Coturnix japonica: one gene and its partners. The protein of the gene in region 2 binds, or shares a complex with, the protein of the main gene of each other region. Links are inferred from orthologs where the notes say so. Each region holds a gene or a part of one and is shown on either strand. Other genes may lie near its edges.

The links.
Region 1: the proteins of EPS15 (region 2) and STON2 are in contact, whole or in part, in an NMR structure (PDB 2JXC), measured with the Homo sapiens proteins. The link is inferred for Coturnix japonica from reciprocal best matches to the Homo sapiens genes EPS15 and STON2. Residues at the interface, in NP_001972.1 of Homo sapiens: Leu139, Gly148, Lys152, Pro153, Val154, Leu155, Leu156, Asn157, Ser158, Lys159, Val162, Asp163, Leu165, Gly166, Arg167, Trp169, Glu170, His176, Gly178, Met189, Val192, Tyr193, Leu196, Glu197, Lys198; in NP_001353779.1 of Homo sapiens: Trp309, Arg310, Ala311, Thr312, Asn313, Pro314, Phe315, Glu318, Gln321, Asp322, Gln324, Pro325, Ser326, Ile328, Asn329, Pro330, Phe331, Phe334, Phe335, Glu337, Gln338, Glu339, Arg340.
Region 3: the proteins of EPS15 (region 2) and AP2A2 are in contact, whole or in part, in a crystal structure (PDB 1KYU), measured with the Mus musculus proteins. The link is inferred for Coturnix japonica from reciprocal best matches to the Homo sapiens genes EPS15 and AP2A2. Residues at the interface, in NP_031969.1 of Mus musculus: Asp629, Pro630, Phe631, Lys632; in XP_006536218.1 of Mus musculus: Phe442, Phe443, Trp446, Lys447, Asp487, Pro488, Val494, Arg511.

What each region holds. Positions count from the first base shown.
Region 1 is NC_029520.1:37,157,700-37,165,828, forward strand, and holds the start of STON2 (stonin-2), read right to left. Parts: upstream 5,119-8,129; 5' UTR 5,007-5,118; intron 606-5,006; exon of another isoform or gene 450-605; intron 1-449. UniProt on the Homo sapiens protein: Adapter protein involved in endocytic machinery. Involved in the synaptic vesicle recycling. May facilitate clathrin-coated vesicle uncoating.
Region 2 is NC_029523.1:21,489,121-21,496,539, reverse strand, and holds part of EPS15 (epidermal growth factor receptor substrate 15), read left to right. Parts: intron 1-2,951; coding exon 2,952-3,113; intron 3,114-3,738; coding exon 3,739-3,936; intron 3,937-4,247; coding exon 4,248-4,445; intron 4,446-4,977; coding exon 4,978-5,055; intron 5,056-5,308; coding exon 5,309-5,399; intron 5,400-6,660; coding exon 6,661-6,696; intron 6,697-7,419. UniProt on the Homo sapiens protein: Involved in cell growth regulation. May be involved in the regulation of mitogenic signals and control of cell proliferation. Involved in the internalization of ligand-inducible receptors of the receptor tyrosine kinase (RTK) type, in particular EGFR.
Region 3 is NC_029520.1:9,439,752-9,447,776, reverse strand, and holds the start of AP2A2 (AP-2 complex subunit alpha-2), read right to left. Parts: upstream 4,851-8,025; 5' UTR 4,730-4,850; coding exon 4,663-4,729; intron 1-4,662. UniProt on the Homo sapiens protein: Component of the adaptor protein complex 2 (AP-2). Adaptor protein complexes function in protein transport via transport vesicles in different membrane traffic pathways.

The DNA of each region.
Region 1 (8,129 bases), on a different chromosome or scaffold from region 2:
CCATAGCTGCTCCACTCAAACCACTTTAATAGAAAACAAACCAGCTTTGTGCAATGGAGCTTGACCAGCTCAGGTTTCAGTTATACAGCTAGTAATACTGATTCCCTTTGAAAACATTTAGCACTGTTTTTTCCATGCATTTCAGTCACCCACATGACCACAAAACCACTGCACAGTTCAGCAAAATGGTACTTTCTGTTCACAAGAGGCCTCTGCTCTAGACAGTGGGAGAAGAAAAATTGCTATATCATATACCCTCCCCATTTTCAAGAGCAAATTAGAGGTAAGGCTTTCATTTCATCTCACAGCTGGCAACCTCAAGATCCTAAGGAGATAATTAGCTTCTATAAATATTCACATCTATAAATGCCAGCTAGATCTTGGCCAGAAAAGCATAAAAAAAAACAAGTAATAACCCTACAAAACCAGATCTGAGTTCTCCAGCTTACCAGATAGGTCTGATGGGGACCTCAGCTCCAGAGCACACCGGCTGCTCCTTGGGGATGAGAGAGCTGTGGATGGCTACAGCACCTTCATCAAATCTTGAAGCCTATTGGCCAATTCTGTCCTTAACTTCAAGTCAAAGGAATTGTGCTGAGACACTGAGTTCAGTTACCTTAATAAATGGAGATGAATCACATTTCACTCAACTCCGGACACCAGAGTTCAACATCTAAGATAGTCATCTGATGCTCTGTTTATAGTCAGTGGATGGAAGATGACACCTCCAGAGAACCCTTCGTCTGGTCTATTTTAGAACAAGGTGAATCCTCCCCATGTGATGACCCATGGCAACTCACTTAGGCTTGCGAGTCTTTTGCACACCTAAGCCAGGGCACCTGAATCTTAGTCACAAATAACATTGTAAAAATTCACAATTGTCACTTTTTCTTCTTCTTTTTTTTTTTTTTTTTTCCAGCATTTTAGGAAATGCTTTGCATCAAGCAAAGCACACACTGAAGGATTTCAGGCATGGCCGACAGCAAAAACTCTTTAATTCATGGCTCCCTTCCACCAGACATACAGAGCTTATGTTTAAGAAACACACATATTTCAGCAACCTACTTGCTATGAAAGTATTTTCTATTCATAAAGCACCATTTGTCTCTGTTGCTATCCAAGGAGCAGATGCATTAATGTTATCTTGTACCTTAACCTTTTCTTTTTAAATTTTATTTTCTGGTGTTTGTTTCCCTCATAATTTTGTTTAAATATACATCAAGGATTATGTTAAATTAAAAAAAAATAAAATGAAAAAGATTATATACACGTATATAACATATGTTATATTATACATAAGTTTATGGTACCCTTTCAGCAAGAGTAGAGATGTAGGGTGAAATACTTGGCATTAAGAGAGACAACGCATAACTTGAAGTAGAAGCCTCTAAAAAGTAATCTCCAATCAGATCCTGTGGAGGGAATTAGCACTTGGAGAACATTATGCGAGTCCCCAGAGCGATTTGTCCTCTGGCTTGGTTTCATCTGTAATGAAACCTGTTGATGCATTCTGATATGAAAAGTGCAACAAGAGTGGATTACTGGACGTTCACTGCAGAAGTACATTCCTGTTTTAACACACTAATGCATATGCACCCATGGCTCTTCCTCAGACTTATTTTCCCCAATTCCTATCAGGATTTTTATACCCTGCCATTTTGAAAGTGGTGGGATCATACACAGAGTTCATCTTATCTGCACATTTAAAAGATGAACAGCGGAAAAGAAAAAAAAAAAAGATATCAGCAGCACATAAGGAATTCATAAACCCTATTTGGGCAGCAATTGCATCTGTATAGACACGCTTAGATGGAATTGCAGCACACTTTCAAAGACTTACACACTGATCCGGGGAAGTTCTCAGATGTATGAGCTACAGGCTTCCAGTTGTGCTGCCCAGGATCCAAATGCACCTGCTCACAGGCACAGCACTGAAGACAAATACACTCATCCTAATGCACACATAGACAGGCACTCCTCCCTTGAGGTTAGTGGTTGTAAAATGATTTTATCCATTAGCAGAACTTGCAGTCCTTTACAGTACTACCCAGCAAGGTTAAACTGCAAAGAAAACATGCTAAGAAATCAGAGAACAAAAACCATCTGATTTTGTCATTGGGTGTTTTATGAATTTTTCTCATTTTAAATAACACAAGCAATTCAGAAAAAATGCTGGAGAATTTCCTTCCAAGGGCTCTCCTTTCCAGGCTGACAGAAGAGCACTCTTAGGGAATTAGCTCATATACATCCAACTTCTACATAGCAAGATTACATTACAAGATTGTTGTCACCACATGAAACCTTACAGATGTATAACTACTCTCCTGACTGTGTTTCTGTTGTTGTTTTTCATAACTATTTAAGTTTTTCCATTTTCAAAGACAAGGTTGTCACTGCTGCAAAGGCTTCAGTGTGTTTTTTTTGTAGCGAGGGGCACAAACCTGAACAGTTCTTGAGGCTCAGACCCACAAGTGCTTTGCAGAAAGCCTTGGTGCAACATTGGGGCCAAAAACTGCCTGAGGCCATGGTGTTGCAAGGAGCAGCATTGAGGCAAGAGGATTAAAGCTCCACGGTCATGTAGTGGTTGGTTCTGCCTTGGTAAGCACTGTGCTGAAGGGAAAAGCCACTGCTACAACAGGTGACAGAAGCCTCACAGAGTCGAACATCTTGAGGATGAGAAACAGCATTGAAATCTGTTACAAACCTCTCGTTTGCTGATGCCAGACTCGAGATAGCTGAAAATGAAGAGCTCTAAACATGATGTATTTAGCCCACGTACAATATGGCTTAACCCACACACAGTCTGGATTTCCCAGCAGTGAACAACATCAGTAGCTGAACTGCCTTCCCAAAAGCTGTAAGGAGCACCAGTGGATGCTCAGGAGTCAAAACCAGTCCCAGGAAGATGCAGTTGCTGCTTCCTTACATTGCAACCCTTGGACTTTTATTCAAACCAAACACACAACAGAGCATGAATTATGCCACTGGCATAACTGCAGTTCCCAGGAACTCATAGGAAGAAGATCTGCAGTTAACAAGGTGTTCTGGGAAGCGATAATTAGAACTGAGAACGTGAATCGTAAGTGGCTACACAGCCAGCCAGAACCAAGATGCAGTGCAACATGTGAGAAAAAAATCCACACAAGAACAACAATAAAACAGCCCATTTCTCTTCTCAGACATTTAATGGTCAGTTCTTGATAGTTTTCACATTTTAAAGATGATTTAAAAGCCAGGACTATAAAAGACCACTTATCACTGGAGCAGCCAGCTGTATTTCTAAATGCATGCAAAATGAGGCATTACATCCTAGGGAACTACTGTGACTTGCTTAGTGCCTAGGGGTTTCATAGGAGTATCACAAAATAATTGTAATGCTGTATGGAAAAAAGCAGAGATTATCACCTGACCGAAGCACGATATCACAGATCCAATCTAATTCATAACAAACACCACTTCATATTATAATCAGTTAGAACCCTAGAAATATTACGGTTGGAAAAGATTTCTAAGATCATCCAGTCCAACCATCAATCCATCACCACCATACCCACTAACCGCGTCCCTCCAGGGACAGTGACCCCACACCCCCAGGAGCAGGTGTTGCAAAACACCACGTCATAGAACCCACTAAAGGTGAGGATCACATCATTGTGCTTTTTCATAACACAAACTTGATCCAATAACAAACTCGTTTAACTGCCAAATATTAAGGCAAACTCCATAGCCCACATGTGTATTATTCAAGATGAGCAGAGAAAGGAAAAAAGAAACTGAAGACAAACACACTGGGGAACATGAGCAGCCAACATTTTGAAGCTTGCATGCCCAAACTGGTAAGTGTACAAGATGCAAATTCACAGCAGGCAAGAATTAATCGGATGATTCACAAGCAATGAAATGCTCTTGTTTGCCAGATTTTTGCCTTGACAAAACTAGAAATCATATAGACACACAGAACTGTTTGAAAGGATCCTTCAAGGCTATCCAGTCCAACTCCCTTGCAATAAGCAGGGACACCTATAGCTTGATCAGGTTACTCAGAATTCAGTCCTGCCCTCCAACCAATCCTGTATGCTGACTGTTAGACAGTTATCATCAAATGGCCCAGGAGGTTCTGCAGAATGGAGCTGTAAAGCAACAGTGAAGGAGTCTGGTTTATTTTATTTTAACTCTGCTTTTCATTGAAAAACTACGGACTAAAGAAAAGATGATATAATGGGCCTGAAGGTGAGAAGTTGTGCCCACTTACAGCATGTAAATCAACAGAACAAGGATCAGTGGAGAGAAGTAGAGCTCCAGCAAAGACAGGGATGTAGCTCACAGAACAAGCAAGCGAGCTGCAGAGAGCCGTTTCTGATCGTATGCTGGCATAAAAACTCACTTGGCATGGAAATATGTACTTTGTGCCTTTATAGCCTATAATTTACCAATGGTACTTGAAATAGACTATGGAAAGATGATCGGCAAGTTCTCTTTCCTTCTTACTATCTTAACATGAGAAAGCAACTGACAACGCGTCAGAGTTCCGTAGAATGAAGAAAGGAAAAACCCAACCCGTGAGTAATTGCCCGGAGCAGCGGAGGGGCAGGTGGATGCGGACTGCTTCCCTGCGCTACTCCCAGCACTCATTAACCTTCCAGCACACAGCGCGGGGCGGTACGGACAAGGGAACGCTCCTACGCGGGGCACCGGGCAGCGCTGCCAACACTCCCCCACACCAGCAGCGATGCAGAAGGGTGCGGGAAACGAGGAGGGCTGGCCGAACACGGCCCAAACGGCCACACCGAGGAGCAATACTACGAGCCCAGCGGGAAAAAGCACCACAACAGGGGGCGAGTCTCAGCTCTACGAGAGCAAAGCGGTGCTCGAGGGAAGCTCAGCCAGCAGAGAACACACCCGGGGAAGGCAGACACCCCAGCTCCCGGCCCGGGGCCACCTGAACCGAGTCCAGCTCCAGCTCCCACCTTCCCTCGACCTGCCGCGACGTGCAGCCGACCACCTACCTGCGGGGGTGCAGCTGCTGCTCCTCGAAGCCGCCGCCCGCCGTGAGCACGGCACAGCCGGGGGAGGGGGAGGAGAAGGAGGAGGCGGTGCACTCTGCGCGGCCCCCGGCCCGCCCCACCGGGACACCGGCAGTGCGGGGCCGCCGCCATTGGGCGCTCCCCGGCGGCGCGGGGGGCGGCGGCATCGCCTCCGCATTGGCCGCGGGAGCTGCTGCTCCGCCTTTCCCTGGCAGCGGCTCAGCGTTGGTGCCGACCTGTAGCGAGGGGGAGCCCCAGGGAGGTCGCAAATGAGCGTATGCAGGCTGTAATTTTTAGCCTCATCTCAGTGCCGAGGCTTTTAACGAAAGGCAACTTGGGGACACGCTCACGGGCACCGCGTACAAACACACGCGCAGGTGCTCGTGCACGCACCGCGCCCCTCAGCAGCTTTGAAGAATTGTTCCTGCGAACTGAGGAAGCACCACTTACCGAAGAGCTTCCTTGCAAATTGGAGCTTGCAAGCTGAAAAATGTTAATAACCGTAAACGCTATAATCATGCAAATCCTAACAGCCTTAATTAGTACCGGAGTCACTGAAGGCAAAATAAATAAATAGATGAATAAGTTCTGTAAGTTTAAAACCAGCTCACCTGACAAGAGCTGTTGCCGAACCAGGAATTCTCAAAGGAGCAGCAGCAGCACAGGGCCACCCTGTAAAGCACCGCGCGCGGCAGAGGGCGCAGCTGGTTCACCTCCACCAAAGCTTATCCTGCGTAAGTTCCCAAAGAGGCTACGCACAGTTCACTGCTGGCAGAGATCCATGCTCCAAGGGACTGCAGAAACTGTCAGCCCCTTCCCGGTTCTGGTCAAGCCTTGAGCCTCATTTCTTCTTTTTTACTTCTTTGTGTCTTCCAGACAGGATCAGAATTAGCCATTATAGGTTAACTTTACTCAGTAGCACTGAGGCTGTAAGCATGGTAGCAGGAGCGGTCAGCGGTCTTCAGTAAGAAGTTAGAATATACTTTTTTTCTCCTCTCATCAAAGTAGGGGTTTTTAAAATTTATTTTTAATTCAAACACTCCGAAGAGCCTTGTCTGCCTACTTCAGATAGCTTGGATTTGAAGAACAAAGGTTGTGTCCCTCAGTTTTCTGGTATATACCATAATGTTGCATATTAGCCATAGAAATACAGTATTCTCCTCCTGGTATTCTGATCTGTGATGCAGGCAAATTTAGCAGATGAGACTACAGGGTTAGAGATCATAACATAGATCATAACAATAAACAGAGGTACTGACCAGCTAAAGGCAAGAATCAGTCTGAATCCTATTTAAGTACACACACTCCTACTTTTTCTTTCTTTCTTTTTTTTTTTTTTTCACTCAGCAATGAGGTTTTGTGCTTTTTCTTTTTTAATATGGATATTTTCAAAGGGGAAATGATTTTAAGTTGAAGGAGAGAAGATTTAGGTTGGGTATCAGGGGGATACTCCTTATTATAACAGTGGTGAGGTTCTGGAACAGGCTGTCCAGAGAGGCTGTGGATGCCCCATTCATCCCTGGAGGTGCCCAAGGCCAGGTTGGATGGGGGTCTGGGCAGCCTGATCTAGTATTATATGTCCTAGTATTATATGCCCTGCCTGTGGTAGCAGGGTTGGAGATCCATGATCCTTGAGGTCCCCTTCCAACCCAGGCTGTTCTGTGATTCTGTGGTTATTTCATTTTAAAGATAATACTGCATTGCATTATAAAAAATAATTAATAATAAAAAATCTTAATTAAGCTCCTTTATTCCCACCCAAAACAATGATTCTCAAGCAAGTTTCTCTGCAGATTTAACTGAGTTACGTCAGTTCGCCAGGTGAAATATATTTCATTAAGAAAGGAAATGCCATTGTAACCTCTGGTGAGTGATTTAAGCCCTTGTAGCACCCCAGCAGAAGCCAGTCTCAGAACTGTATGGAAGCACAGACAGAACTACTTATGTTTTAAACACCAATGTGCACCTGCCACTAAATAAATAAATCTGTACTTCACTCACCTGTTTACACCACATCCCACAGAATACAGCCACACATTCAAGCATGTGCCTCAGCCCAGAGCTTGAGAGTACACAGAGCAGTAAGATAAAATACACAATATTGCTTGCTTAACTTCCTTGCCTTGTATAAAAAAGGATGCACATGAGAGGTCAGTTTAAATCCAATAACTCTGCAAAAAGGTGCTGTTTCCTTTAAGACAAGCTATCACCTTCATTTCCTAATCATAGACTGGGCATTTTCAGAAGAAAAGGTTTTGCTCAGGTATCCAGACATCTTTGTTTCATTATCTAAGAGTAAACTACTGTAATCAGTAGCCACAGAGATGGCTGTGATGTAAGCAAATGAGAAGTTTGTGGAATAGTAGAGCTATAAGTGCTATGGTCAGTGTAAGAAATAGGAAGCATTAAATGTTTCATTGTGAAAGTGAGAAGTGCAAGGACAGTTGAAAACTGCAAAGAAATTCATTCATATGACTTGAAAACTTCCTTCCTGTAGCTGCAGAAAAATCTCACAGTACCACAGAGCTCTCCACCAACTAATGAGATGCTACATTAGAGAAGTTTAAGAAGGGACTTTACTTTTAGTTCATAAAGTGATTTATTTTCCTCCAACTATTCACTTTCAGTATTTACCACAGAGGTTTTCAGTTTTGAGCCAAAACATAAATAGATAAGAGCTATGTTTTATAAGGCTGAACATACACCAGAAGCATTTAAAAATGTCTCTCATGAATTTATGAACCAAGAATGACAAAAATAGTGAAGAGCAAAGTTTCAGGGGCTTTTAAAGTCAACATACAGGAAAACAGTTAATATACTGTCATATTCACTAAAATAGTTAACTCAGAGATATGCGTTAACTAAGAGCCTCTTCTTTCTCATTCTGAGAAATTTCTGCCTGGTTATACCCTTTATCTTCTACTGAAGGCCATACTGCTAATAAGACATTCGGGAAGGCTATTTGTTTAGCAAAGTGGCAGAAAAAGCCAACACAGCTGTGCATAGTGAGATCACTACATTTATCTCACTGGGTTTGAATTCTCTTACTATAGGCACCTCCCTTCTGTGCAATGTTTCTCAGAGAAAAACAATCAAAGGAAACTA
Region 2 (7,419 bases):
TCTTTGATAGTCAGCAGCATCACAGAATCAATGAAATCATTGTATCCGGAGCAGTTGTGTTCAAAACAACTGTCTTAGATCTTTAACCTCTTAGTGATCACATAAGCTATTTGTATCCTGCTAAATATAATGAGTTCTCTGTCTGTGAAGCAGTCTATTGCTGACATGTCAGAAAAATGGGAACCCATCAGGATCAGATGGGGTATGACTCCAGCATTCGTTTGAGCTCATGGCTCTCTGTCTCTGGTCTCCTTGTTCCTTAATGTTGGAGGACCCACATGTTACATGAAACTTTCTAGAACTTCACAGAATAGCAGTGGCAGATAAAGAATATCTTTACATCCTGTTGTTTGGTTATTGTTTTTTTCTGATGTTCTTATGGTAATATTTCTAAAGATGGTTTGCACAAACTGTGTTGTAACCTGCCACTTTTGACCAAGCTAATGTGGTGGCATCACATGGAGGGGTTCATGATACCAGGATTATATCCACTGACATAAATTATAATCTCACAAAGGCTTGTGAACAGTTCTACATGGGGGAAGAGATAGAAAATTGTTTTCCCCTGTGAAATAATGTATGTGCTGTACAAATAGAGTCTAAGGGGAAGAGATGGAAAAAGAGTTGTAGGGAAAACATAACAAACTGATATTTTCTAATGCTTATTAAAGTGTTATCAGCACTGATTAAAGGCTGTTTTTTTCATAAGAGATAATGAGTAGAATAGCAAAGATTGAGAAACTGAGGCATTTTTTAATTTATTCTGTGATGGAGTTTTCATTTTCTTATAAATAACAGAGATAAGAAACTCAGATACAAGATGTTCTTGTCAGAAGATAATTCAGTTTTACAGAGTTGATGTATCACTAAAACACTAATTTTTGACCACACAAGTATCATTTCAAAGCATCCCCTTGTGCTGTCACCAAGCTGCTCATCAAGACCCAAGTGCTGGTTGGAGCACAGAGTGCCTCAGCCAGTAGGCAGTGCCTCAAGTTATGGGGTTATTTCCACATTCCCAAGGCTCAAATCCTCCATCACGCACTTTACATGTGTATGTGTATGGATTCTTAGTGTGTCTGCAGAGACTCTGAAATAAATGGTGATTGTTCTGGCTTTCCCAACTATGATTGGGAAAGAATACCTAGAATAAAATTCCCTAGAGTTCTACTGACATGAAGTCAATAGGTCTGTTTCCAGTTTTAAGTGGAATATTGAAGGTTTTTTTTGAACAAACCTGTGGAACTCCTGGAAAAAAAAAAAAAAAAAAAAAGCACAATTTATGTTTGTATCTATGGAGGTAAGGAAATCTATTTTGGAGATATCAGGTATAGTCAGGTCTCCTCAGTGCTTCTCTATGGCTGTGGCTAGTGCAGACATTGGGAGTCAACAGAAACAGTAGCAAGACTGGAAGTCATTTATATTTAGCTTGTTTCTGTGTGTGACTGAAAGGAGCTGTTATTTCCATCCCTCAGCCTGGTTGTTATGTTGAGAGTCAGATGGTATTTGTATTCAAAGTCATGAAAAAACAGAATGGATCAGGATGCTTTCCCAGTTGTCCAAGTCACTTGATGCTGTCAGAGCTTTTTGCATATACTGATTTATTTTCCATAAATCAGAAGCAATCAACAATTCATCTAGTCTGGCTGCTGTAGGTTAGGCATAAAATTTAAGCTCTTAATCCTGAAGTAGTTGAATGGATTTTGATTTTTTCTTTGAATAAAATAATTGGGTTTTTTATTAGGTGGTCTTCTGATTGTCCTGAGGTTCCCCATTTTGCTGAGCATCTGACTGCTGCGCCATATACATTTGTTTCCATCTCTTTTTGTCCTGATTAACTGGAGGTGTTAACAGATATGGATTTACCGTCTCCCCTTGTTTAAAAAAAGATAGTAATTTAAAGAAATCACCTAAAAATGACAACAGACTCTTGCCTTAGAACAGTACAGAAATACATGATCTTATCAGAATTTAATGTCAGCTTTTTTTCTGACTGTCCTAAATTTTCTTTAATCTCTCTTTCTTTATTTATTTTTGAATATGATTCTTCATTCAATTGCTTTCTTTTTTTTTTTTTTTTTTTTTTTTTTAGAAAGACTGCAGTCTTCTCTCATCAAATGCTTCTGTAATAATCCTTTTTTGATCCCTCTGTATTACTTCTTCTTGACTTTGACAGTTTTTGCTAGATTCTTGTCTTGGATGTTGTTTTTTTTCCCAGTGTTATCTCTGCAGTTTGAAGTACAACCATTATTGTTGCTCAGAAATGAACTAATGAACTAATTACCATATGATGCTACTTTCTGTATCTTATATTTTATTCACAGCTGTTCCCTAGAACAAAACATGCCATGTTTTCATATATGGAACATACATTTCTTACCAGGACTGTTACTTGGAAACAAAAAAGAGTTGGGGTGATTTCAGCAAAAATTGGAGGCAGGGGAAATCATTTGGATTAATAAGGCACTGATTTTTTTCTTCACCTTGCTACTAAAATGAGTTTGTATTGTTGGTGTGTGTTTCTGAGGGGAAAGGAACATAATAAAGAATTCAGTTACTGAGGAGCTCAATAAAACTTATTGCTAAAATATAGAAGAGAGAATGTAGCAGCCTAAACAAAGGATGACTTCTGGATTCAGAAATGAAGCTTGCCTCCCACTGATTATGTAGTTGTAATCTCTGATTAGTGGTATGATCTTCAGTGTTTCAATGAAATTTTAATGTATTGGGTTGTTTTTGTGGTTTTTTTTTTTTTTTAATGAAAGAAAAAGCAAATAACTATTTTTCTCTTAGAATTAAAGCTTGTGTGATGCACGTGAAATATTAGCCTTTGAAAGGTAACACGTTGATACTCTGAAATCTGACTGATCATCACCACAATTTATACTATGAAAGTTAATGATCAGAGGAGGAGCAGTGAACAAAGGCAAAGCTAATCTGTTCTATCACAGGATCTACAAGATGAAGTAAAACGGGAGAGCAGTAATCTGCAAAAGCTGCAAGCTCAGAAACAGGAAGCACAGGAAATACTCAATGATCTTGATGAGCAGAAGGCCAAGTTGGAAGAGCAACTCAATGATATCAGGCAGAAATGTGCAGAGGAGGCCCACTTGGTAAGGTCTAGTTAGTGGCTTCAGCCCTTAAGGAGAACTGCTGCATTTTGAATATTGCATGCTTGCAGTGTGTTGTGGTGGTTGGGAAAGGAGAAAAATCTTTCAAGATTAAACAGGCTGAGTTTCAGGATTTTGTGACCAGCAGAGACATCAGTTATTTCACTGACTTCTTTATGTCTCAGTGCGCCAACAACTGCAATAAGATATGTTTGCACACATGTAAGGTTGTGTACAAACAAATGACATAAATGTGTAACACAATGTATATGTAACTAGAAACACTAATTACCAGGACTGATTTCTTGGGATTTAAAAAAAAAAAAATTCTAACATAAAATTTCAGAGTTGGTTTTGTTGTGGTTTTTATATATATATATATATCTTTACTATTAGTAATATTTGTATTGGTCAGGAAAACAGCTTAATCTCATTGGGACAAATAGCAAATTAATCTTCTGGTAGAGTATGGTCTGAAATCTCTGCTATAGCTGGTCATAAATCTGGTCATAAATCCTAGCCTTTGCTGGATATATTTGGAGGTGTGGGATATTTTTGGTGTGGTGATGTTGGTTGTTGTTGTTGTTGTTTTCCTAATTTGGCTTTGGAATCCTTGTTTATGCTTTAGATTGCCATGCTGAAAGCTGAAATAACAAGCCAGGAGACAAAGATATCAGCATATGAAGATGAACTGACCAAAGCTCAAGAGGAGCTGAGTCGTCTGCAGCAAGAAACTGCAGAGCTTGAGCATTGCATAGAGTCTGGGAAAGCACAGCTGGGACCTCTTCAGCAACATCTGCAAGATTCACAACAGGAAATCAATTCGGTAAGGCACTGTGAAAAGGGAGGGGGAAAAAAAAAAGGAAAAATAATAATTTAAAATACAAAAAACAGGAAAAAAATGCCAGTGATCACCAGCAGTATGGCCAGCTTCCTTGGCACAGCAGATTCTCAGGTCTACCATATCTCTTCTAGATTAGTTTTGTAGTTCTCTATGAAATTCTATAGTTATATTGTACTTGATTTTGCATGAGAATTACAGCTATATACCTTCCATCTCACATTTAAGAAGGTTAAGTTGTATTCTAGTTTCCATGTACTACTGCGCTGATACACATGCATTATTTCCATTTACAGGTGCAGACAAAACTTCTTGAGCTGAAAGAACTGGAAAGTAACCAATTTAGTTGGCACTCTCAGCCACAGAATGTACTTGTTAATGGAACTGCGGATCATTCTAGTCTCAGCAACAGCAGCAGCGAAACTGCTAACCTTAATGAGAATGCTGAAAGGGAAAGCATAGCTGAAGATGAACAAATAAACAACGTATCCCCAGTGAGTAAAGTGTTTTGCCTGTGTAATTGTGATGCAATGCAGCTGTGAAGTTGGAATAAATTAAGAATGTATTAAGATTGATTGTATTTTGTTTTTAAGCATTTGCAAAGTGAGCTTTCAGGATGTTATTCTGAGGGAGTATTCCAGAGATCTGGAAGTTGATAAGAAAGAAACAGAAAAAGAGGCAACAGAATTCTTTTTGTGCATTTGTTTCCAAAGCTAAATGTCATAAATTGAAGAGCAAAATTAATGTTAAATATGAGCAGCTGTTTCCAATTGGTGCAGCAGAAATAGAATGAAGAATAGTACAGAAATCTGAATGCTGTCTTGCTATTTAAATGTCTATTTTCTTTGTCTCAATTTATCAAACACTTCAGTGTTTTCTAAGTATGAACCTCTTGAGGTATCCTTTAGTATATCCTTACAACAGTTTGGTACTTAAAATGGAGTAAGCAGTGTAGTGCTCTATAAAATGGAGTAAGCAGTGTAGTGTTCTGTTTACTTACATTGAATTGCTTTTATCCTTACGTAGCCAAGAAATAGTCCTGAAACAACAACTGCTGCTGCAGAAGAAGACAAAGAGACTCCAGCTGGAACTGTTACAAGAAAAGTGAGTTTGTTCAAATTTAAGGGAGGAAGAAATGAATGTAAAAACAAAAAAACCCACAAAATAACTAGGGCATGATGCCACAAATGCATTCATCTTATATAGCAGGTTGATTTTTACTGGGGAATGCTGTGGCTCTCTGTTGAGTCTTGATGAATTCAAACTCATTTCAGCTTTAAGAAGTTAATAAATGATAAGAGAATGAGATAAATGTCTCAGACTTCACACCTTTCTTTGCTTCTTTTGGGTTCTTCAGGAGGATCCATTTGATGCTGAATCTCACCCATTGCCTGATATAGTTTCTGAAGCAAGCTTAGAGTTCTTCCAGTCCGACCCTTTTGTTGGCAGTAAGTACACTCTTCTCTCCAAAAATGTGACAGATTAAACTTCTAGTCTTTATGAAATAAATGTGAAAGTACTTGAGTGACAAGAGCCAACAGCAGTACAGAAATATAAATGAGAGTTCTACGGTGTATCTCTTTGCTTTACCTGTGTGGTTTTTTTTCTCTGAGTGCCTCTTTTATTTTTTTCCCCTCTGGAGGTCTCATTTTGGTATTAAAGGTGTGGGCATACTTGTGATACATGTGGTGTCAGTGATCTAATTTGCAGCACAGAGTCACAAACAGGTCATCTGAGGGTTCAGTGAACTGTGGTGTGGGGAGAGTGTGGGTGGCTGAGAGTGAATGGCTGTGGCCTACTTATGGCAAGTTAGGCACTCAAAAAAAGATAATGTGGAACTGTACCATCTGTTCATCTGTGGAAGTGCTATGCTTTATTTTAAGAACTTGCCGCTCAAGAATTCTGTTGCTCCAGTTTTTTTTCTTATAACATTGGAAGGAGTGATCTGTCTGCATAGAGACACTTGGAATATGGGAAGAGTTAATTTGGATTAACTGTTGAAGCAGATGTATGCAGCTAAATAAGCTAAATTTATTTTGCATCACTTGGCTTCTAAAAGATTGCCAATGAAGATTTAGGCTCTAGTTCACCTTTTTCAATTAAAAAGTTGTTCTAAAACTTCAAAGATTTTATTGTGGTTTTTTTTTTTTTTGTTCATATTGAAGTAGTCCTGCTTATGGGACATAACAGCCTTCCTTTCAGAGGAGAAAGATATGTCAGTTAATCAGTCTTCTGGATTTTGTGTGCTCAGTTTGTTTAGAGGTAGATATCTAGAGCTGTAAGACCTTATATATGTGAACTGAGGGAATATACTGATGCATATATATATACTTGCATCCAGTATAGAAATGAACACTTGACGGCTACTATCCACAGTGTCTCTGAGAATTAACAAAAGTGGCACTAAGTTTCCATCAGTAGTTAGCCTGTGTTACTGTGGTGTAAATACTGCACAATGTGGGTCTTCACTGAGAACAGCCAACAGAGATGCCTTTTTCAGATGACTGTTATTGTGCGCTTCGTGCTGCTAATAAATTATGTGATGAATATTTGCTTTGTTATCAGCTCTTGTTCCACTAAAAATAATAAAACAGTTCCTCTGAGTGAGGGCAATTCTAGCTCTAGAAACTTGTTTCTGTGGAAAAGACTTCAACTCAGTACACAAGCTTTATGCTTTAAAATCCACAAGTCACTTTTTCCTTTCAACAGGTGATCCCTTCAAAGATGACCCTTTTGGGAAAATTGGTGAGCAACTTTGTAACTTCTAATGCTTCTTTTCTTGTTCTTTTTCTTTTTTTTTTTCTTTTTTGTAAATGATTCCTAGTAGAACAGTACTTTGGAGGAAAAGTGTCACCGCTTACAGTGTGAAAAAGGTGGTAGTGATTTGAAAAGTCACTGTAGGATGGATATATAGCAGTAGCAGCTGCCCACTTGTGTTAAACCTTTTCAGAGAAGCCTGTTCCCTAGGAACTTCTCTCTTGCTTTTGAAAGTATTCTTAGTGAGGATTTAAATATATGGAGGTGGTAAATGGAAGGCCTCAAATTCAAAGAATGTTTTGTTTGCAGAGGAATAGGACTGTTCTCTTAAAGACTCTTAATTCAGCAACTTTCTGTAGCACAAATATTGAAGAAGATGGGAAGATCTGTTGAGACTGTTTCTTTAAGCAATGTTGTTGCATTACTTGCTCAGTTTTACCAGTGGCAAAAAGGAAATGGGGAGTGGGAAGGCTACGGCAAAACAGCATGGTGCACCCTGTGTCAAATAAGGAAACATCAGTTATGTTGAGGGAGTGAAGGAGAAGAAAATATGAAAGTTCTGAAAATGATTAGTTTATATAAAAATGTTTCTTTGTAAGGGAGCTGAGTTAGAGAAGCTATATATTTACATGGTTCTGCTCCACTATTGGCACAGTATAGTTTTTGTTGTGTGCAGAAAATGTCAGTTTGTCTGATGTTTGAACCATAGAA
Region 3 (8,025 bases), on a different chromosome or scaffold from region 2:
AATCCTGCTATGAAGAAAAAGGTGAATAGATGCTGTCCTTCCACATGATACATTCTATCAGAGGAAAAAGCGTATATCTCTTCTCCTTTCCTTCTCTCCAGAAAAACAAGTCTGCAGTGGCACAGAGACTGATGAAAACCATTGTGCTTTGGGACATCCTGATGTGATTAGATATATATTGCAACAGTCAAAGAGATCAGCGTCACTGAGCACATTTAAAACACGGTAGTGCACGCTTCTAATATGTTGCACTTTAAGAGGACTAATATGCACATAAGTTACTTTTTCCTCCAACGCTGGTTTGTCACTATAACAACACTTCTCATGAAACAGCAGGAAGTCACAGGCTTTACCGTAATCCAGTAATCTATTAACTCCTTGTCCTTGGAAGGAAAGGGAGGGGGTAAAAGAGAGCAAACAGCGGCTTCCAAATCCCATTACAATTCAGATGCTCTAGTTGCTGTAGTTCAGTATGAGTTTAATCATCTTAAGCGTTCAACATGGATGCTTTTTTGCTTTTTTGCTTTTTTTTTGTCTAAACAGGCATCACACGTTCAGAAAACCAGTCTGTAGTAGGGTCAAGCATTAAGGCTTTCACCCAGCATTCCCCCATATGAAGTGAAAACTTCCTGGATGCTTGTATCTTAGTGACATTATGACAACTGCAACATCCATTTGGCAGTTCAGTTGGCAAGAAGACACCGACTCCTATCAAAAGAAAGCTTCAAGCTAAGATGATATGCAAAAACAGAAGTACAATAGAAGGCCGTTATGGAAAGCAGCTCTTCCTCCTTCTTTGCCTGATCAGTACTTAAAAAAACATTTTCTTGAACAGTATTTTTACACAGTAGACTTACACTCCCCTTCAGCAGAATAAGGCAGTATTTGCACCGAGGGATTACACTGTGGACTCTTTCCCACCTTAGTATACATTCAAATAACAGGAGAACAGTGTGAGGCTTATACAAAGTCACCCAGTTTAACCATCACAGCTAAATAGGACTATTCCAGCAACCTTAGCAAAACAAGCCTATATGTGCTCATTTAGTGATGCAAACAATGCAGTATTCTCTGCAGTAGTCTTAAACTTCCTCTTACTGGTCCTGATGAGCAGCCATTATCCAAAGGATTTCAAATTCAGCAGATACCAGTGACTCTAATGGAGAAGTTGGATGTTACACAAATGATCTCAGCTCTCATCTACTAATTATCATCTTTACCAACTTTTTTCTCCCTCTTACCATCCAGTAAGAATTAGAATTAATGAAATAACTCTATGTGAGGAGATAGAACTTCAATCCACCTGCTAGTTTTTATCTAAGGAAAAAAATAAATACAGCCCAAAGGAAAAGGAACAGTATCCATAACACACAGAGATCCTATATGGGCTTTAGCTCATAAGGTACTTCATCAGGGCAGCAGCGATGAGAGCTTCACCAAATTGGAACTTTAAAGTCTGGATGGCACTTCACTGAACCATGATTCAGTGCTCGAGCTCCACTACCATCACAATCTATTTTACAGTACAGCCATGACTTGCTACTTTCTCAGCAAACCACATTAAATAAGAGCTAACTACCTGCACTATCTTAACTAAGTGCTTTAGTTGAGCACTCAGTTTTCTTGTCTACTGTAAGCAGACTTTAAAAAAAATAAAAATAAAAATCACATATAAAGTCATTCTTATATTCAAAGAACATCTGTCATACAAGCTTTTAACACAGAGATCAAGAAGTTTATCAGATAAGCAGATAACTCAGGTGCCAGAAACATGCTTAGTTGACATGGGACCCACAACTTTTAATTGTTAAATAGAGACAGGCAACATCAGCTGTTACTCACTTGCATTCAGCTATTAGTTGTAAGAACCAAAAACTGCTGTCAAAGATCATTTTTGAAGCACTGCAATGGACTTGTAAAAATGGATAGACAAGACAGGCATTACTCCCAGATCAGTAATTTAATATACTTGTAACAGAATGATACATTGTTTAGAGCCACAGACACTGTAGGTACAAATGCCCAAGAAATAAAAGTTGCTGCATGACGAAGCATTTCTAAAAAGAAAAGCTCTGAATTTATGTAAGCGTCTCTTGAAAGTTTTATGCTGTTACCTTGGAAACATGCTCTGCATCCACCTAAGCACAGTTCACATATATCTACATTTTCAATATTCAGCAACAACTACGATGCAAATTCTCTATCTGTGTAAAGTCTTTCAGAAAGAGTCTTACATTATAATCTGAAGGGGCTGCAGACAAATTCAAACTTCAGTCATATATGGCAGAATTACAGAAGAGATAAATGAGTCAAAGCCAAAAGTAAGATGAAAATTGGGACTGCCAGCAGGTATTTTTCACATCAGTACAAGTGTCAGCTGCACTTGGTGTCCAGCTTCCCTCCCATCCAGAACAGGAACATTTTCTTATTTCGCATGTCAAAAGATCTTGCTTAACTGAACAGCGGTTTCTTTTTGTTCTCGACAAATATCTGCTCTGAAAAGGGAAAGGTGGAACTCAAGCCAGTACCAGTGCTTGTAAAGCACAACGTTTCTAGAGAGTGCTCTTAAGTATATTTGGGAATCTTAGATACAACAGCCCATGGTTAACCAGCAACACTTAAATCTCTCTAAACAGTAAAGATTCAGATGCCATTGAATAGCTACCACAGATCACCTACTGGTGGGAAATACCAGCTCTTTCACAACTATTTAGATTTAGAAGATGCATTACCTTCATTATGAAGATGAGAAAGATACAGAGGGGTAATTACAACCTACAAATTGCAGCCTCAACAGAGACAAAACAATCCAGAACCATCTTCGTAGGTTTGAACGATAAAGGGTTAACACCTTATTTGTTTCACAAATTAGTTACATCTTTGCTACTCTTGCAGACACTGCTAGCATGAATGGTTTGTTACTCAAATCGAACAGAGATGGTTGTTCCATCCATTCCTGCGCTGCTTACAAAATGGAAAGTCTGTGAGGAAATCAGTAGCTAATTTGTTCTATCCTTCTACCTCCAATCTTCTTATTCCACATCCTTTAACATAGGCTAGGTACCCCCAGAGCTTGACTATTTTCTTGTTTTCAGAGAAATCCAATAGAAGTGAATATAAGAGAGGAGAAACGTGTTAAGCAATAGCAAGACGTAAGAGATATTTGATGAACAGAAACCATAGTGCTTCTAGCCAAAGAGATGAAAGAAGTCATCCCAAAACAACAGTTACAAGAATGACAGGCATAAATTGGATGACAAGGTGAAACTGTTACAAATGTAGCAGGCATAACATAGTAATATACTTGCAGATCTCCAGGAAACATCTGGGTCAACCAGAAAAAGCTCAAGAGCACCAAAGTTGTCTTGAACTGATGAACATGTTCTGTACATGCAGAAGGCGGCTTACAGGAGGTATCCAAGGATTTGCAACTCAGTTCAGAAAACCTCTGCTGTTAAGAAGATCCAGGACCTTAAATTTACATGCAACGGTTCCTGTTTACATGACTGTAAGTCCAAATCACCTGAATTTAGTTGAATAAAACTGCACATCTAAGAGGTGTCATGTCATTGGTTGAATTTGCTCTGCAGCCTTTTCTGTTACTCCTGGAATAATTCCAAAGCCATCAACACAAAGCCCTCTGAAGCAGGAGCCTTCTCCAAGCCAGTTTGGTTATCCCAATACAAGCCCAGAGCACCATAACTTGCACTCTGAACAGCCACCAAATCCACTTCCATCCTTCAGAGTGGAGACTTTGGTGCCAATCCTTTTAGAATAGCCGCCTAGAGACACACCGGTGGACAAAACATATAGCCGTTTCATCACACCAACCACAGCGACCTTAGCCCTTCCCCAGGCAATTCTTGCCACATTGCACACTTAGATCTCTAACTCAGATTAATATTAACCTACTCTCACCTGCCATTCCCACGGCAGGGGAGGGTGCCAAGTACCCCCTAGCCTCCACAACCCCCTCCAAGCAGCAGCCTCCTCCCCCTCCTCTCCCTATAGAATGCCCTATACAAGGACGTCGCATCCCCATCCCTTAGGGGGCACCTACCGGCAGCCCTCTTTATCCGTTTTTTTTTTTTTACTGAGCAAATCCCAAGAGCTGTCTTCCGTCAAACCAGAATTTTAAAGGCGGCTTAAGCCAAGCGTAAACACAGCCAGCGAAGGCCCAGCAGAGGCCTGCTGCTTTCCTACGGTGCCTCTGAGCATCGCCAGCCGCCGGCAGGTCAGGGAGACCCGCGATGCTCCCCGCGGCACGGCACAAGCCCACCCACCCACCCCGGCCTCACTCCAACGATGGGCATCGACCTCCTCTCTCTGTCTCCCCCAACAAATGGGACCGCGGGGGAGAAGGAAGCACCGAACCGACGATATACACACGCAAATAACCCCCACTCCCGCATGGAAAGCCTCCTGTCTCATCACCCCCCCCCCCCCCCGCATCTCCCGCCGCCCCCTGGGGCGCGTCGCCATTTCGTGAGTAGATCACCGAGAGCGGCTCGCTGCGAGGGAGGGAGAAGGGAAAAGCACCGGGGAGGTGACAGGGGAGTCGGATGAGGGACGAACGCCCCGACCCGAAGCACAACAGCCCCCAACGACCGCCGGCCCGGCCCCGTTCAGCCCAGGCCCCGCCGCGCCTCAGCCGCCACTCACAGTTCCGGATATCGGAGATGAAGACGGCCAGGCCTCGCATCCCATCGCCCTTCGACACCGCCGGCATCGTGGCGCGCGATCAGGGCCGCCCAGCGACACGCCGAACCACCGCAACTACCACCGCCGCCGCCCGCTCACCCCGCGGGGCTCTTCAGGCCGCTGCAGCCGCCGCCTCTGCAGCGCGCATGCGCCGGGGTGGCTCCCGCGCCCCCGCGGGCGGCAGCGGGCGTGGCTGTGGCGCCCCCTGCCGAGCGGAGGCAGCTCCGCAGCGGCCCTGCCCTCTCCCGCAGCCCCTCGGCCGTTCCCGCAGAGGCCCGATCATCCGCCCGCCCCCCCGCAGCTGTGCTGCTGAGCCTTAATATCCCTCCACGGCCATCAGGACAAATAGGCCCCGACTGTAGGCCCTAAGCCCTGTCACAGAATCACAGAATGACCCGGGTTGGAAGGGACCTCAAGGATCATGTAGTTCCAACCCCCTGCCTGGCAGTGCCACCAAACACACACATTTACTAGATCAGGTTGCCCAGGGCCCCGTCCAACCTGGCCTTGAACACCTCCAAGGACGTGGCATCCACAACCTCCCTGGGCAGCCTGTTCCAGGGCCTAACCACTCTCCTAGTGAAGAACTTCCCCCTAACATCCAACCTAAATCTTCCCTCTTTTAACTTAAAACAATTTCCCCATGTCCTGCTATTGTCAGCCCTTTTGAAGAGTTTACTCCCCTCCTGGGAGTAAGTTCCCTTCAAGTATTGAAAGGCTGCAATGAGGTCAATACAGTTGACCTGAATTATGTGTGGCTCTTCACTACTCTTCTGGCTACCAGGGCATGCAGGTGCGCAAGACATGCTTCTTCTGAAGATCACAACCAAGCAGAGCAACACAGTCCCACACCAGAGAATTTGGACTGCATGGAGCATTTAATCTCATCAGCTGGAAATAGATTCAAAGAGCATCAAAACTGACCTAGTATGCCTAAACAACAGTGTGTTGAGAGGTTCAGCATACTTAATGCATTATAAAGACCTCTATAAGCATTAAGGAATACTAGAGACTGCTCATTTAATGTTTTCTTGCATCCTTCAAGCTGATAATTTTCATCTACACCTTCATCTTTTCCTTTTCTTTCCCATTTGCTTTTATTTATTTATTTTTGCCTGAATTGAGACCAGTAATTAGATTTTAGCTGCGGACTGTCTTCTAGAAAGGCATACAACCCTGATCTGAAACCACCAGTTTCAGTGTTTCCCTGGGTAGTTTGTTCCTGTAGTTTTATGTTCTGTTCTTAAAGCTTGCATCTTAAACTTGTAAAGCTTCAGTGCCTCCAAATAATGATACACTTTAACCTCATGTAGCAAGACCCACATAATATTTTCTGGTAATGGCTGTATATATGGCATAGGTCATCTCTCAATGGTCTTTTCCGTGTGTTTTCAGGATACATTTTTACACCAGTGCTTTGTTATTGTGTATCCATTCCAAAGAGAAGATTGCAATATCTGGTAGTCATCACTGTATCCATTTTCTTGTGCACAACCAGTCTTGATACAGATTCCCTGCATATGGAGGCTTACATGAAAAGAATTGACTTAATTCATAGCTTTACAATCAGACTGGATGCATAACAACAATCTTCAAACCACAAGACTTCAAAAATAGAAATCTTTCTCAAACAAACACACAAACATACTTGTGTTTGAGTTAGCCAAAATAAAATGTTGAACTAATAATATCTACTCTTAAAAAGCAGAGTGACACCTAAAGGCCGAGTGCATCAGTCCTGTGTGGCTGCATTCCTGTCACTGCAGCTGCAAGTTGTGCAGGCATGCTTAAAACTACCTTTAAAGAGGGAGCAGTGTCAGTTGTGACTGTGCTTGAAAAGCAAATACACAAATAGAGAACTCCTTTGGGGTTTTTCAGTAGTCAATCATTTCAATTCTAACTTAGTGCACACTATACATTATGTAGTCATTTTACATTCACCTCCTTTTACTGACTTTTGAGTATCTACCATGCATTTTGCCATCCATAAGTTCCTTTAATCTTCTTCAGAATTCCAACACAATTTGGTATAAAGACTTCGAAAAATTAGTCTGATCTTTATAAAAACTAATATTAGTAAGTTGGTGGTTTTCAGCTGGTGTCTGTTTGTGGGAAGTACAGCTTCCACTGCATTTCTTCTCTGCCTTAAAGCTGAGTGCTAATTTACAGACAGAGTTTAACTCTTGTTCTGGAGCTTTAAGTGCTTTGCAGTTTCAATTCCTATTTGGTTTCTACAGCCAAAACATGATTGAATTTTGAGTGTGATTACATATAATTATGAGGAATTTCAACACCAGAAATCATCCAACAGCCAGCAGGATTTACTGTCCATGCTGTGTTTAGTACTGCCACAGCTATTCTGCCACCTACAGCTACTCTTCAGCCCTATGTGAGTGTCTGCCAAAATCACACTCCAGAATAATTTGGACAGCACTGTGTTTAGGATATGAAGTCACACACTGTGGTATAGAGCCGTGTTGCCAGCTCTTTGTACCTCTGTAATGAATTTCTACACAGAAGAAGGAAATTCTTATTTTCCCTTTGTTATTTTTGACAGGATTGTCCCTCACTTCATCAGTTACTGCTTTCTTCTCCCCCTCATGGTCATTCTAACCATACTGGAAGGAAAAACAGCTAAAGAGAAAACAGAATTTGTGGCTCCTACTCAAGTGTACTCGATCTTGTTAATCTACCTGACATCTCAAGTTCATTATCTATGGATGGAGAGTATAGGTTTATCAGTAATGCCTTCTGCCATGTCAGAATATCAGATACTTTGCTTTTAAGATTAAGAAGCACAAAGCTCGGATAACACCACTATCATGAAATCTATCTCAATTTTCAGGTATGGATTTGCCTAAATCTCTTCTATACAGTGGGCAACTCAATGACTGAAAGAGTTATGCACTCTACTATGTTTATACAGAAGTGTAAAACAGAATAGTTACACTCAAAGAGCTTGGACAAGTTAAAATAAGGGTTAATAAAGAGTCTCCAGGTAAGTTGACCTTGCCCTCTGCATGCTGGCACAGTGCTGACAACCACCTGGGTGACTTCCTGCATTGCAATAAATTCTATGTTACTTCTTCTAGCTCATAGGAAGTCTTTTTCCCAATCTGTTTGTCTTAGTCATCTTTCTCTTAAGCCGCAGGCTACCGAATGAAGGTATGGGTTTAATTTCTTGCTGAGAAACCATTTTTGTTTCCAAACCTTTTTTCACTGAGTATGCAGTTACTCCCCAGGTAAGGAGCATGTTTCTGTTCTCCTCCAGGTGTCCGACAGTGCTCTGTTAAAGGAACAGTAGTGTACAGAAAAACACAGAAA